Diceros bicornis minor: one gene and its partner. The protein of the gene in region 1 interacts with the protein of each later gene in a pairwise test. Links are inferred from orthologs where the notes say so. Each region holds a gene or a part of one and is shown on either strand. Other genes may lie near its edges.

Evidence for each region.
Region 2: the proteins of TBL1XR1 (region 1) and ARL2 interact in binary tests that used the Homo sapiens proteins (3 or more experiments, as listed by UniProt). The two-hybrid records come from large-scale screens. The link is inferred for Diceros bicornis minor from reciprocal best matches to the Homo sapiens genes TBL1XR1 and ARL2.

The regions. Positions count from the first base shown.
Region 1 is NC_080754.1:45,361,443-45,368,637, reverse strand, and holds the start of TBL1XR1 (F-box-like/WD repeat-containing protein TBL1XR1), read right to left. Parts: upstream 3,160-7,195; 5' UTR 3,117-3,159; intron 1-3,116. UniProt on the Homo sapiens protein: F-box-like protein involved in the recruitment of the ubiquitin/19S proteasome complex to nuclear receptor-regulated transcription units. Plays an essential role in transcription activation mediated by nuclear receptors.
Region 2 is NC_080770.1:8,120,295-8,127,841, forward strand, and holds the start of ARL2 (ADP-ribosylation factor-like protein 2), read right to left. Parts: upstream 3,233-7,547; 5' UTR 3,182-3,232; coding exon 3,117-3,181; intron 1-3,116. Other genes in the region: BATF2 (basic leucine zipper transcriptional factor ATF-like 2), read left to right, coding at 7,195-7,301. UniProt on the Homo sapiens protein: Small GTP-binding protein which cycles between an inactive GDP-bound and an active GTP-bound form, and the rate of cycling is regulated by guanine nucleotide exchange factors (GEF) and GTPase-activating proteins (GAP).

The DNA of each region.
Region 1 (7,195 bases):
CCTTTCCTCTGCCTCTTGGTAACAGGGCAATTAAATGTACTCTTCCAGAATCCAATCCCAGAGGCTGTAAACAGCAAACCTCTCCAGCATCAGCTCTCTCACACAGCCTTTTTTTTTAAATTCAAGTTTCTGTTGTTGACAGAGCAGAAGATACTACCAGAGTGGTCTCCAAACTGGACCACACTCATCAATTCTTTACTACACAGCCCCGGGGTCCTAGTCCTTCTGGACTACGGGGATGTATAAATGTCTTGATGTTAGCTGCTTTCTTTTTTCGCATTTCAGTGACTTATACTGTAAATGTTATTTGTGAAGTGAGTCAAATTCACATGTACTAGAAAAATACAAAGTCCTAGGCAGTGCCAATACTTCTGCCATCTCCACTGACTACCATCCACATTCCTCTCAATTCTTTTTATATAAACAAACAGAAACTGAAGAAACCCAACAAACTATTTCTCCTAACTTTATTAAAATGTGTCAAGTCACAAATCCTTTGTAGTAATACCGCTGTAGTAAATTGCAGAAGGATTCCTTTGTCAGCTACTCATTTGACAAGGCTGTAGTTACATTTCATTGCTACATATGAACAGATGTATTTATTCAACAGGTTGTCATTCAAAAGGTCTATTAGTCAGATTTCTTGATCAGTAACCCCAATGTTTATATTAAGCTCCTGCCCTTTCTACGTATTAGCTACAAAGGCTCCCAGCACACAGGAAGCAGTTACTTTTTGTTCTCTTAGTAGGCATGTATCACAATAAACCTCAATTAGATGCTGAGAACACAAGTAACAAAAAGATTCCTGGACACATGTAAAAAGTTATCACAATGTTTAACACTTCCTGGAAGCAACCAATGCAAAAAATACAACCTCCACAAGGGGCCTCTTCATTGACCACGGTGTCTCCCACATTAATAACGAAAGCTGGTGTGTATTGGCAGCAACTGACGCTGAGCTTTGCAACAATTTTTAAGCCATTGACAAGTTTCTTAACAGTAAGAAAAACTTTTTCCATGGACACACTGTCTTCATCCCCCACACAGTTTAGTATTTTGCCCTAGAGGTGTGATTCTAACTATTCAAATAGCAAAAAAAAAAAAATAGTAGTTATTCAAGGATTTAATGGTTGTGATTACATACATCACACAGTGCATGACAGCAGAACTGGAAAAAAAATCATATTCCAAACAAGCAGGAAAACCTCAATTTAAGAGCAAAAAGTATAAACATGCATCACATGCCTGACCACTCTCAGGCATATTTTCTTTCTGCTGCCCCTCCTCCACCCATAAATGCTAACTATTTCTAGAACCCTCAATGATAATTTCCAAAGCTTGCATGAACTCCCATGATACAACGTGACATACGTTTCATGAAGACGTTTTCATGGAGACAACGCTGCCCTATTTCCCCAAACTATAAACTTATTAAAATGGTGAGAACATACAGTCCCAGGAAGTCAGGATTACTAAAACACACCAATGTAGCACAGGTCTCATTTAACAAAAACGAAAATGAACCACACTGGGAAAGCCAAAAAAGTCACTCACTGTCTCTTCAATAGGCAATCAGGCTATTAATTACAATTTGTTTTAGGGAAGTCGATAAAAACACCACGAGGGCATTATGTTACCCAATCTGATAAAGGAGCCTTTAGGAAAAAAGGGGGAGGAAGATGATTGCTTACATGGGTGGCCCGGAGGAAGGGAAAATAAACCATTTAGACTAAAAATAACCCATCATTTCACCCACCATATTTAATTAACAAGCTTGTTTATATTAGCATAAGGTTCTTGTTTGGAAAACAAGAAAACCAAGAGTAAACTTCCCCTAAGTCAACTGTAAATCACATAGGTACTAAAACTGTTCACCTTGGTGTCTGCACAGTCCAAGGTTTTATGTAAACTCCAGAGACTGAGAAAATCTAGTTTTTAACTAGGTTCCAACACTTGTCATTTGTAATCACCAAATTACTTTAGAGACTATTATTAGAAAACCTAGCAAGAGGAGCATTTTTCAAGAGCCATCACAACCCAAATTTTACATGAAACACACCATTTTCACAACCTGAATTTAATCTCGGTTGCCACTGCAAAGTGAAGCCTGTTTCAGCAAATTAGGAACTTCCAAAAATACTGAACATGTTAACACATGCATGGCTTCCCTCGAGCTGCCATTTAAGATTAATAATTTCACTGGAATAAAAGTCTGCTTCTGTTCAAAAACTGACATCGGTTGCAAAGAGGAAGTTACCGAGAAACCACCCTTCACAACGTGGCCTTTACACTGTCAGAAAATAATGTGACTGTGCGACCCAAAACTTACCAGGAAGCTGGCAATAACTTTACCAATTCTACACTTCTGAACCCAACTTCAAAGAGGTTCTATCAAATGCCTCCTTAAGACGGTAAAAAGCACTAAGTTGGAAATAAACACGCCCGGGAGTGCGGCCCCGCGGCCGCGCGCCCCTCCCCCGCCGGCGCCCCCGCCCGGCCCGCGCGGCCCCAACAGCCGCCCGCAGCCCCCTGCACGCCGGCCGGGGTCGCCGCGCCCGGGCCGGGGACGCGCCCGCGGAGGGGAGCCTGTTTCCATTGCTGCCTGAGGTTTCACAGAATAACATGCACCGAAAAGAGCCCTCTCCTCCGCTAAAAATAGGCTATAAAGGAGTCGGCCTCATGATGGCTCCTTGATTCAATTTGCTGCAAATTCTTCCCTGAAAGCCTCCCCCCACATATACACACACGGAAAAAGGGGGTGTAAATGCACGAAGGGTGGAAGAAGGGAAGAAGGCCGAGGTGCACATTTTCGGGGACCACAACATCCTAAGGGTGAGGATCCCCCGAGACCAAAAAAGGGTAGGGGGTGGGCAGGCACGTGAGCATTTCAAAGAAGCCCGAGAGAGGAAAAGGGGGGGTGGAGTACCCCAAACGCCTTCCCTTCCTTCCCCTCCCCCACCCCAGCCCCAGCTCTCCAAAGGGCCAAGTCGAAAAATGCAGGTTCCACTGGCGCCCATCCCCCCGCGGCCCGGCGCCCCCCGGCTGCCGCCGCAGCCTGCGCCCCCCGCCCCGGCCCGCGGCAGCCCCCACCCCGGGGTCCGGCCCCCAGCGCTTACCTGGAAACGGTGGCCTCCGACGCCGCTCCCCCCTCCCGGGAATGGAGGCACAAGGAAATTCCCCTCCTCGCCGCCGCCGCCGCCTCCTCCAACCACCCCCAAAATAACCCCTCCGGGGGGTGAGAGGCAATTATAACCCCGGCGAGCGGAGGGCGCGGGGGATGGGCGCCGGGCGGGCGGGGGCGGGGAGCGCGGCGCGGGTCCCCAGGTGGCGAGCGGAGGTGCTCCCGCCGCGGGGGGAGGGGCGGGGGCGCACGCGGCCGGCGGCGGGGGGAGGCGGCGCGCGGGGGAAGGGCGCGAGCGGGGAGAGGAATTGAGGCAGAAGGTAAAAGCTGTTACTAAGGGAAAGAGCCAAACGGTTCGGAGCAGCCAACGGCTCAGACACTCAACACTGGGGAGAGAGGAATGGGGACCAGCCAGGCACAAATGAGCTCGCGAGGCCCGCGGCGGCGACGGCCGCGCAGCAAAACAAACCCGAGCGGCCTGCGCCGGGCGGGCGCGCGGGGGAGGGGCCGGCGGGGGAGGGGCGCGCGGCCGCGGGGAGGCGGCGGCGCGGCGGGGGGGGCTCCGCCGGCCTCGCTCCTCTCCCTGCGCCCGCCGCGGCGGCGCGGGGGGCTGGGCGGGTGCGGCGCAGGCTTTTAAAAATAAAGAAAGACCCGCAGGCGCTTCGCGGCGCCGCCGGGGCACTGGCCGCCCCGCCCCCACCGCCGCGCGGCCGGGTGCGGAGTCGTTTGGGTGTGGGCCGCGCGGCCCGCTGGGGGCGGGGCGGTCGGCGGGGCTCCTGCGGGTCCGGGGGCCGCCAGTCCCCGCGGGCACCCCGGCGGCGCGGCGGGGCCGGCTGGGCACACCCCCGCGGTGGGCATGTGTGGAAGCGCGGCGCAGGCATCATATGGACCTGTGTTTGTACAAAGCTCTGCACACACCTTTGTGTGCATAAATACATATGTTTCTCGGAAGCGTACCTGGAGAGGTGCTTTATCTGTAAGCAGCGATTTTCACAATGTAATCCGGAGCACGGGATCTGGAGAGAAAACACACACACGCAAGAAAAGGGTTTTGATGCTAAACACAAAGCTGTAATTGAAGTGTTTATGCCCAAATGTACTGTGAATCAAACATATGGTGGTATTTATCGTCTGGTGGGTCTGCTTGAAAGGTTTGGTCGATCAGTTCTCATTTCACAAAAATAAAATAATGTAACTAAATGTTTACTAAATATATACCTCTACGGCAGCATCGACAGTAGAAGTTTATCCACTTTGTGTACTTTTTGCATGTGTGTAGCACATCAAGGCAGTTTGTAAAGTATAACTTAGATGAGTGATAATGTGTCAATATAATGAAGGAAGGGAGGGCAGAGGGGTGTTTTAAAAAAGGGATGCACCTCACAGTTCTTAAAACGAATGTGTTTATCTTTCCGAGGCCCTCAGAAAGCAGGGGTTGGGAGTCTTAGATCTTTGTATAAGCCTAGAACATAAAAAGCAGCTGTCCTTTTAAAGATTTGACCTAAAAGAGAACTTTTTTGTTGTTATTTTCAGTTATTGGTGAATTCAAAGTACAATAATATTTTTTGCAGCCTTTTTAGATGAGGGGTTCTGTTTTCATGCTTTCATCACAATATTTGGAAATAGACGTAGTCACTATTTTAAAGCAATAGTCTTTTCCTCTCAATATCAGAGACCTAAATTTTCACACCAAAAAAAAGTTCATTCGAAGTATCTTTCACACATCTGGACTCCGGGTGGCCTAATAAGCTCAGTGACTAGACAGGTGCTTTTTTGGCCAAGGTCAAAGGCTATTTCCCCTGATGAGCCCTTACTTGGCGGGGAGGGGGAGCAGCCAGAAGCCTTTCCTGAGAGGGAGCAGGAAAACCATCAGAGGAAAGGGAGTGGGATTGGAAACTCCCTCACAACCACCAGAAGAGAGTTCACAGCATCTCAGTAGTTCGTCCTCAGAGCTATTTTAATATATGAAAGAGGGAATGTTAGATTAAACAATGTCACCCAATGGGAATTTAGATAACTGCCGGTTTCCAAAACACTGTGTTGAGTGTTCGGGCAAACAGCACAAAGAGAGCAAGTTTTGCATTTCAGTGACGTTCTAAGCTAAGGCTTACTGCAGAGCTCGCACCTTTGCAAAGACCATTTCCGAAGTGATGAGGGTATAGTACCTTCCTATTTTTTTTAAATGTTTTTAAGTATTGATTAATGACATATGTATGTTACTAAACATAATCTTCTCTTCAATAAGCAAACTATCTCAGTACAATTAGGCTTCATTATCTGAGCCACCCAGTGAGACAAATCGATTGGCCTAGCTTGTTTTTGGCCACCACACATGGGTCTTCTCAGCACCGGCTGCTGTAAAATCAAACCACTTTTCCAGTGAATGAGGATTTCCAAACTACACCGACCCTAGTTAATAGGGTCATCTCCAAACTTGGGGCCCCCAACTTATCATCCCTCAAAATGATCTCTATCACTCCATCTCCAAGGGAGAGCCCATCCTCCTTCAGGTTCATAGGGTCCAGGGCTTCCACCCTGAAGTTCTTATACCCTACACCAAGCTGCCTCCCGTCCTAGCAGGAGTTCTTGTTATCGTAATGATAATCATAATCCATGCGTTTGTTTACATCCTTGTAGTTATAAGATGTTTCTGTGCATAAATTACTTCATTTAAATACCATGATAAAAATCACCAAAGGTGGGGAGCTTTGCCGTAAACTAGTTCCAGTAAAATGCACCTCATCCGCCATGCTCGCTAAAGATAGACTTGAAGTACCTTTGGACAAAAAAAGCACTAAATGTGGAAAAGCCTTGATTCTCCCAACCAAGGGGTATTAAGTGAGATCATATTTTGATCACTTCAATTTCTATATTCTGGAAACTCTGAAATGACAGCGTGGCTGCAACATGAAATCCTCAGATAGATGAGCCACCATACAAAGTTCACATGTATTGCTACCCCACCCTCTAGCCATTCCAACTTATCTAGTATACAAGATCAGAGGCCTCACTTTATACAATTCAAGCAATAATTAGACACAGGAGTAATGTAAGGACAAAGTTAATTATTGTTACCAGTTTTCAGTGCTTTGTCCTAATCTAAAAGCTGTCCTTATGCTTTGAATATAAATGTTAATATGTTTCTAGAAAGGAGAAATTACTCTGTTACTAAGAAATTTTAAAGCAGAGGCACATTAAGAAAGTTCTCTTGAACTTTCTAGCTAATTACTCAACAAAGAGAAACCTCATACCAGTAACTGTTACCAGACTTTATATATATATTATAAAATGACTAAACAAATCTTGACTTGTTTTATTTCAGTAATATTACACCCAGGGGGTGTGGTATGGCAAGATAGCCTATACTTTTGCAACTTTCATCACTCGGGAAATAGAACATTTTAAAGTTAAGGTGGCTTAATCCCAGGTTATAGGATCTCATTACTATATATATTTTTAAAGCCACCATGATGTTTTATGTTGTTTGCATTAGCTGATCTATGTAATTAAAATGTTCAAAACCAACTTAAAAGCATGAAAAAGATATTTGATACCAAAAATATTATCCCGACACTATAACTCTTTGTATATTCTTTACTCACCCAGGAACTCAGTGGCTTTACGTCTGCAGTGTGTGCCCCCAAGCGTCTTGCTGATACCATGTGATACGTTTCTGTTTCGTTTTGACTCAACTTGTGCAATTCTTTGTCTGTGGTTCTTCCAGCTATCAGCTTTTGCCATCCGGACTGATGCAGATCTCGGCCACACATCTTAAGATCTCAGCACATTGAGATCTCCTTTTCTCCCTCTGTGCTTAGTGTGTGACTTCTGACCTTTCCTCATCAGTGTGAACCTTGTCACAGTTTTCCATGACTCTGTGACCCGATTTCATTACCACAATGAACTTTACTTGGGAGTTTTCATTTAAATTACAAAAGCAACACACAACCATCTTACAAGTATTTATGCCTTTCAGATAATGGAAATAGCAGGTTGGATTCTGCCTTTGTGATTCAGTCAGCACAGAAAACCACCCACACACAGAGCATAGTGCTGTACCAAGTACTTACTTCT
Region 2 (7,547 bases), on another chromosome or scaffold:
GGGCACAGGTTAAGGAGCAGTCTCCATGCTATGCAGGGCGGTGACATCATTATAGCGTCCCTGTCTTTAGGGGACAAATCTTTTCCCACCACGTATCAAAATGAGTTGAGCACATGCCTGACCCACAATCGGCCCATGATAAATGTGAACCATGATAAATGTGAAAGTATCAAGAAATAAATATCTTATCATCTCCTCCTGACCAAAGGCTCCTTAATTCATTTCACAATATTTATTGAATATCTCCTATATGCAAGGCCCTCTTCTGTGCAGGGGAAACCCAGAGTAAAAGCCCTCTCCCTTGTGCAGCTTACACTCTCGTGCAGAGACAGTTGGTAGAGTGCAAACAAATGGGAAACAGGTCCTGTTGGATCTGGGGAAACTTCAGAGATACAACGAAGAAGCTTTTGGAGACGGCCATCAGGGAGCTTCCTTTAGCTCGGGCACCTCTCTGAGGGTCTTGAGCTGAGGCAAACTACAAGAAGCCAGCTTTTTGAAGGACTGAGGGAAGAGCATTCTAGGCAGAGGGAACAGCACAACCAAGTATCTGGTGGCAGCCACCGTCACCTGTTTCTGGAATATTCCAAACCCTTTGCTGCTGAATGAGTGTGCAAACGAATGGGTAAGTTCACCAGCTGGAGAGAACCACCTCCTCTTTCCTTCCAACACTTAAGGGGGCTTGCAGCTGGGAGGGGGACCCAGGCCCTGGCCTCTGCAGCCTTTCTGCTCACTTGACCTGGGTGAGTGACTCAAACCAGTGAAATGGGGGTGAGAGAGAACCTCTCATGAGACCCAGCCTCAGCCCCAGATTATCTCCTCACCCCCAACCCCATCATCCACGTTTCCTTCTCTGCTGGATCATTCCCATCAGCTGAGAAGCTGGGGTCTCTCCACCTTAGAAGAAGCAAACAATACCCTCCCTTGATCCCTCTCCCCCCTACTTATTCCTCTATTTCCTTCCCCTTATATCAAATCTCTTCAAAACCGTTGTCCAGGGCTGGCCCCGTGGTTAAGTGTGCGCGCTCCGCTGCTGGCGGCCTGGGTTCGGATCCCAGGCGCACACCGGCGCACCGCTTGTCTGGCCATGCTGAGGCCGCGTCCCACATACAGCAACTAGAAGGATGTGCAGCTATGACATACAACTATCTACTGGGGCTTTGGGGAGAAAAATAAATAAATAAATAAAATTATAAAAAAAAAACAAAAAACCGTTGTCCATACTCGCCCTCTCAATTTCTGTCCTCTTGCCCTTTCTTGAACCCGTGAGGCTCCCACTGCTTCCTGGAAATTGCTCTCACTGAGGTCAGCCCCTAAAGACCCGCACGTAGCCCTCCCGTGGCCGGGCAGTCCTCACCCCTCGTCTTCCTGCTCCATCAGCAGCACGTGAGACAGCGGCCTGCCCCTTCCTCTGCTCCAGGACATGCCCTTGCCTGTACACCTGCCTCCCAAATCACCCATCCTCATCTCCCTGACCTCTTGATCCAGGTAAGCCTGGGTTCCCTTCTCTGTCCACACTCATCCTCAGTGCTCTCACCCAGGATCACGGCTTCATACACCATCTTTATGCTGATGACACCCAAATTTATACGTCCCACCCAGCTGCTCCCCTGGACATCAGTCCCTACATCCAGCTGCCTATCTGACATTTCTAGGATGTCTCAGAGGAGCCATCTCAGCAAGTGGCTCCTCTTTTTCTAATTGCTCAGGGCAGAACCCTAGGAGTCAGGCTTGATTTCATTCTCCCTCTCACACTCCCAGCCAATCCAGCAGTAATTCCTGGGGGCCCTACTGTCAAAATGTCCCCCAGCTTCCATCACCTCACTGCTTCCATCCTGGCCCAAGCCACCAGGCTGTCTCTCCTGGGTTAGAGCAAGGGCCTAGCTGGTCTCAGATCACACCTCCCCTCTGCACTGCACTTAAAGAAAAAGCCATGAACCACAAGGCCCTACAGGAGGTGGTTCTTCCACCACCTCTCTGTCCTAATCTTCTAGTATTCTCCTTGCCCATTCTCTCCAGCCACATTGCCCTCCTTGACGTCCCTTTGAACACACCAGTTGAGCTCCTCCTTCGAGGCCTTTGCCTGTGCTGTTCCCTTTGCTTAAACAATCTTCCCCACATACCTACATGGTTCATCCCTCACCTCTCTGTTTTAATCAACTGTCACTTACTCAATGTGGCCTTCTTTAACCAGCTTATTTAGACTGCATTCTATTCCATACATACTATATATTTTACTCATTTGCTTTGTTAATATCTTTCTCCCCCCAGCATCATAGAACGTCCATGAAGGTAGGATTTTTTTATTTTGCTGTTTCCCCCAGCACCTAGGGCAGCGCCTAGCACATAGTAAGCGCTCAATATTGATCGGATAAGTGAATTCTGTGCCTTTCTGGGAGCTCTTTAAGACACGATGTGACTATTATTTTAACTTATTTGCGCACATAAATGTCTCCCTTCCCCTGCTAGGGGAGCTCGGGGTCAGGCCCGCCCAGCTCTCAGATCGCAGAGCCCCCACGGGTCCCTCACAGAGTAGGGCGAACCAGTGCGGACGCCTGGTAATGGGACTCAGAAGGTCGGCGGGGCCCCGGGCCTACAGGCCGCCAGCCGCGGGGACACCGACGGGCCGAGCGGCAGCAATGAGAGGGACAGTTCGATCCACGGTCGAAACGACCCGCGGAGTCCACACCCGCCTGCCCCCGGGCGGAGGGCGGGTTCCAAACGCCCCAGGGATTCCGACCTTGAGGGCGGGGCCGGGCTTGGCCCCCCTCAGACAGAGGGGAGGAGGTCAGAGCCGGGGAGGATACCGGCCCCTCCTCGGGCCAGACGGACGGGCAGTGGCGTCCGGGTCACCTCCGGGCCCCACCTCCCCCCTACACTGCGGGCCTTCAGGCCCACACCCTTGGCCTTGGGAACGGAGACCCCCCGCCCGAGCCAGTGGTACGGCCCCCTTCCGGCCCCCCGCCAGGAGCGGTTGGTAGGGCCCACGTGCGTGACGCACACTGGGCAGTTGGTACGGGCCGGCCGGCCGTGGCCCCCGCGCCCGGTAGGGGGCGCCTGGCACCGCCCGCCCGGCGGGGCCCTCGCTACCCCCGCGGCTGCGGCGTCCGGGAGGATACAGCATCAGCAACCGCAGCTCCCGCTCTTTCTGCTTCATCTTCTTCAGAATGGTCAGAAGCCCCATGGTCGCGGTAGCCCCCTCTCGGCCGCCGTTTCTTTCTAGTCCCGGGACCCCTCTCCTTGCTCCTATTGGCTAGCACTCCCACCGGCAGCTCAGCCGATTGGTCGGCCTCTTGCTTGGTCCCGCCCTCTCCCCCACGTGACCGCGAAGTCGCCCGGCGGTGCCGCTGCGGCGGTCCCTCTAGCGGTGCTGGGGGCTTCTGCGCGGCCACCTGCGTTAACCCTTCACATCCCGAGGGCTTAGGGGACGAGGGCACCGCCATTCCTCCGCAGCAGGATCCCAGACTCAACCGGGAATGGAAACCTGAAGTTTCCTGGGTTGTATCTTGCCTGCAAAGAGAGAAATTCTAACTCAGGAGTCAGAACCGAGAGCCCCAAGGATGTTGACCAGCTCATCCTGGGGCCAGCATAGGGCTCTGTGCCCCGGAAACGTGGTCCAGATCCTGCGCATCTTGGGCCTCCCCCTTTCCCTGGCTCCTCAGATGGGAGACGGTGGGCCGAGGGTTCTCCATCGAGGGCGAAAATGCCTCCCAGGGGCCGTTTGTGCAGGGGCGTCATTGGGTTGTCCCAATGGCAAGGTAGAGTCCCTGTCCTTTAGAGGGCAGAGGACAGACCCGCACAAAGAATTGGCCTGCCCGAGATGCCCATCGTTTCTCTGTTGAGAAGCACGATTCATTTTGCCACTGAGAAAATTGAGGCTCACCGGGCGCTTAGCACAGCGACTGGCATATAGTAGGTGGTTTGTTGTTGAATGAATGACGTTGTCCAAGAGTTTGGTTCTTTACCTTGGCGCTCAAGTCCAGAAAAAGTGAGGAAACTGAGGCAAGGGACTAGGCAGATTGTAAACTCAGAAGGGTGAGCTTTGTTGTCTTGTTTTGAGCCCTCCTTCCAGCCCTCTACAAGATAAATATGAGTAGGCAGCCCAGAGTAGGCTTTGTCTGATGCGTGGGAAAGAACAGTCAGGCACCGGCTGAAGATAACGGCTAACTTCTGTGTAGTTGTTTACAAAGCACTCCGTGCTTTCTACTTCATCCCCCTGGCAACCCTGAGAGGTTTATTTCCTTTTTGTAGATGTGATAGTGGAGTCAGAGTTTAAGGAGCTTGGGCAGCGATTTAAACTCAGGTCTGGTCGACAGTCAAGTGCACTGCGTTTCCTGGTCCCTCCATGGTGTTGGTCTGGAGAGGGAGAGATCTGGAGTGGTCTGGACCTTCCCATCCTGCAGAAGAAGGTTGTGGACAAGGGAGGGCTGGACAGAACGGGGTGCCTGGCTGGGCCCCCTGGGACAGCACTATTTACCCTCCACCAAGCACACCCAAGGGAACAAAGTGGGCGTAACTCCTATTCAAAGGCTTTAAGACACAACTGAGATCACAGTGTGCCTGCCGTCCTATCTCCATGAGTCTCTGCTACAGAAATTCTAGCACCAGCAAGTGAACATTTATGACAAGGAAGTTCTCTGTGGCATGGTGTGGAATAGCAAGAAACTGGAAAAAATTGAAGTGCCTTCAGTGGGGATCAGTTACCCTGCTTGGGGTATGCATGTGTGGTGAATTCCATGAAGCTTGGAGAAAGGTGAGGAGGAGTGTTAATGCACCTGCATGGAAAGATGTCCGTGCCATGTTAAGTAAAAAAGGCGAATTTCAATTTTAAAATAACAATAACCCACTAAAGAATGTTTTTCAAACTATAGGATGCAGCCCATTAGGTAGATTGTGAAATTACTTTGGTGTCACAAATACGTTGAACCATATGAAATCACCCATATTCGACCGTTTTGACTACAAAGATACCAGTTTCGTATGGTTCAACCTAGTAGCATGAGCAAAATTTAAATAGAATGAACGGAACAGAAAACATTGCTGCCTTTGCCCATGAAGTAAAGATAAGTGGTATTTGTTGAACCGTCTGTTTCAGATATTTATATGGATGTGTGTACTTCTGAGAGGCACAGTCACAAAGTGTGAAAATCAGAGCAATTCCACTGTTAACTCTGGAGTTGGTTTGAGGGAAACTTAAAATGATTACCTGAAGCACTTCTGGATTGTTTTACTTTACTGCTGCCATTAGCACTAAAATCCTTGTTTCAATGCCAGGGTTAAAGCCCTGCCATGTCCAAGCTGCCCTTGTAGCTTCCCAGGGGCCACATAGTGGGGTTACAATGAATATCAATTAAAAAAACAACCTGGAAGCTCTGAAACAGTAGACCAGGAAGTAACTGTATTTAACTTTTTTTTGTGTGTGTGAGGAAGATTAGCCCTGAGCTAACATCTGTTGCCAATCCTCCTCTTTTTTTTTTTTTTTTTTTGCTGAGGAAGATTGGCCCTGGGCTAACATCCGTGCCCATTCTCCTCTACTTTATATGGGATGCTACCACAGCATGGCTTGACAGGCGGTGCATCGGTGCGCACCCGGTGTCCGAACCTGCGAACCCTGGGCCGCCGAAGTGGAACGCATGCACTTAACTGCTATGCCACCGGGCTGGCCCCTGTATTTAACTTTTGAAGAATGATTGCCAGTAGCTAGAAATCAGGGGGCTGGGTGGGGTGGGGGCTTTTAAAGACAAGTGTGAGGCCCTAGCGACAGGCGTATTTTCATTTGCCTTGTGGAAAGGAGGAAAGAGTGCTCTTAAGGAAATAAAATCTATGGGGAATACCTTTGGAGGAAAACTGGGCAAGAAGATGTATAGAGCTGTAGTTACATATAACTGTGAATATATATATTCACAAGAAAGAATCATGAAATTAAAATACCCAAATCCTGACAGCTGTGAAACCTGCTTTTGAAGGGAGAGTTTCTTGGGACTAAGTAAATGGATTGTAGCTTGAGGATGGGGTTCTAGACGGCTTTTTTTTTTTTTTAATGAAATTTGATCTTTAAAGATTTTATTTATTTATTTTTTCCCCCCAAAACCACAGTAGATAGTTGTATGTCATAGCTGCATATCCTTCCAGTTGCTGTATGTGGGACGCGGCCCCAGCATGGCCGGAGAAGCGGTGCGCGCCCGGGATCCGAACCCCGGGTTGCCAGCAGCGGAGCGTGTGCACTTAACCGCTAAGCCACGGGGCCGGCCCAAGATGGCTTTTTAAAAGGCATGATTTCCCAATGTCTGGGGAGGAAAATTTGGCATTATCGTTTTAATTTTAAGAGGTAGAGCCTGTTTGATCCAGCCATTCCACTTCGTGTATCACCTTTATAATCATAAAGGAAAAATAACAAAACTCTTTTTATTCTGGAACAACAACAACAAAAGCCGGGGGGGAAGACCTTGCTTAAATTATAATTGCTGATCATTGAGCATTAGCAAGAAGTATACCCAAGTGTTTATTTGTGTATATAAATATTTTAAACTTGTTCTAGATGCATTTTCTATCTGATTGTTTTAAACTATAATGTTTATATGAGGTTGTTTACAGTTACAGTTTTGATAAGAGAAATCCCGTTTTTCTCTGGTGAGACACATCTGTGATACAAGTTTAATTTTTGGACCACATGCACATGACAGAAGCACAAACCAGCACTTGGTGGCAGCATACCCAAGTGTAGGTTTTGTCCTACTAATTAGTAAACAAAGAACTGGAAGGTTGAATGAAACCTAATCACTGAAATGGCAGATGCCTATAGACCACAGTTTGGCCCTGGCCTGCTCTAAAAATCTCGCCTCCTATCTTCCTGTAGGCGTTAAGTATCCAAGGGTGGCCCTGTCCCCAGTGGGTGTGTCCACCGTGCAAGCCATAGCTGAATGCCTCAGATGGTATCAGAGTGTTCTAGCATCTTTGTAACAGGTCTCAGCCCAGCTGCCTCGCGTGGGAGGCAGAGGAGGTATTCTCTCCAACTTCCAGATGGCAAAATAAGCTGTTACTCACACCCCTGCCAGCCACCCACGGGCACCTGACATCCTCAGACCTTTCTAGAACCTTAGGAGTGGGGAACGACTCGAAAATCTGAGCTCTTCCAACAACTGCACCCACGTCCACCTCACCTGTACCTGTGCCGTCCTCAAAGGCACGGCTGTGCCGATGCTTCTTGTCTCCACAGGTCCTGGCTGGGGAATCAGGAGGAGGAGTTGCTGGGCCTTCACTCAGCAACCTGAGAGCCAGGTACCACTCTTATCTCCACCTGACAGGTGAGCCAGGGCCTCCCGTCACCTAGACAGCTGCAGCAGCCTCTGCTCAGAGCCTTCCACTGTCCTGTATCTTTCAGAGTTAGAGCCCCAGGTCTCCAGTGGCCTACGTGAATGCCCCCCACCCCCACCCCAGGCACTCTGCCCCCAATCACCTCCTCCTCCCCCTCCCCTTACCAATCCTCCAACCCACCAGGCCTGCCTATTCCCACCGCCCCTAACCCTTACCTCCCTGGCATCTCCCTCTCT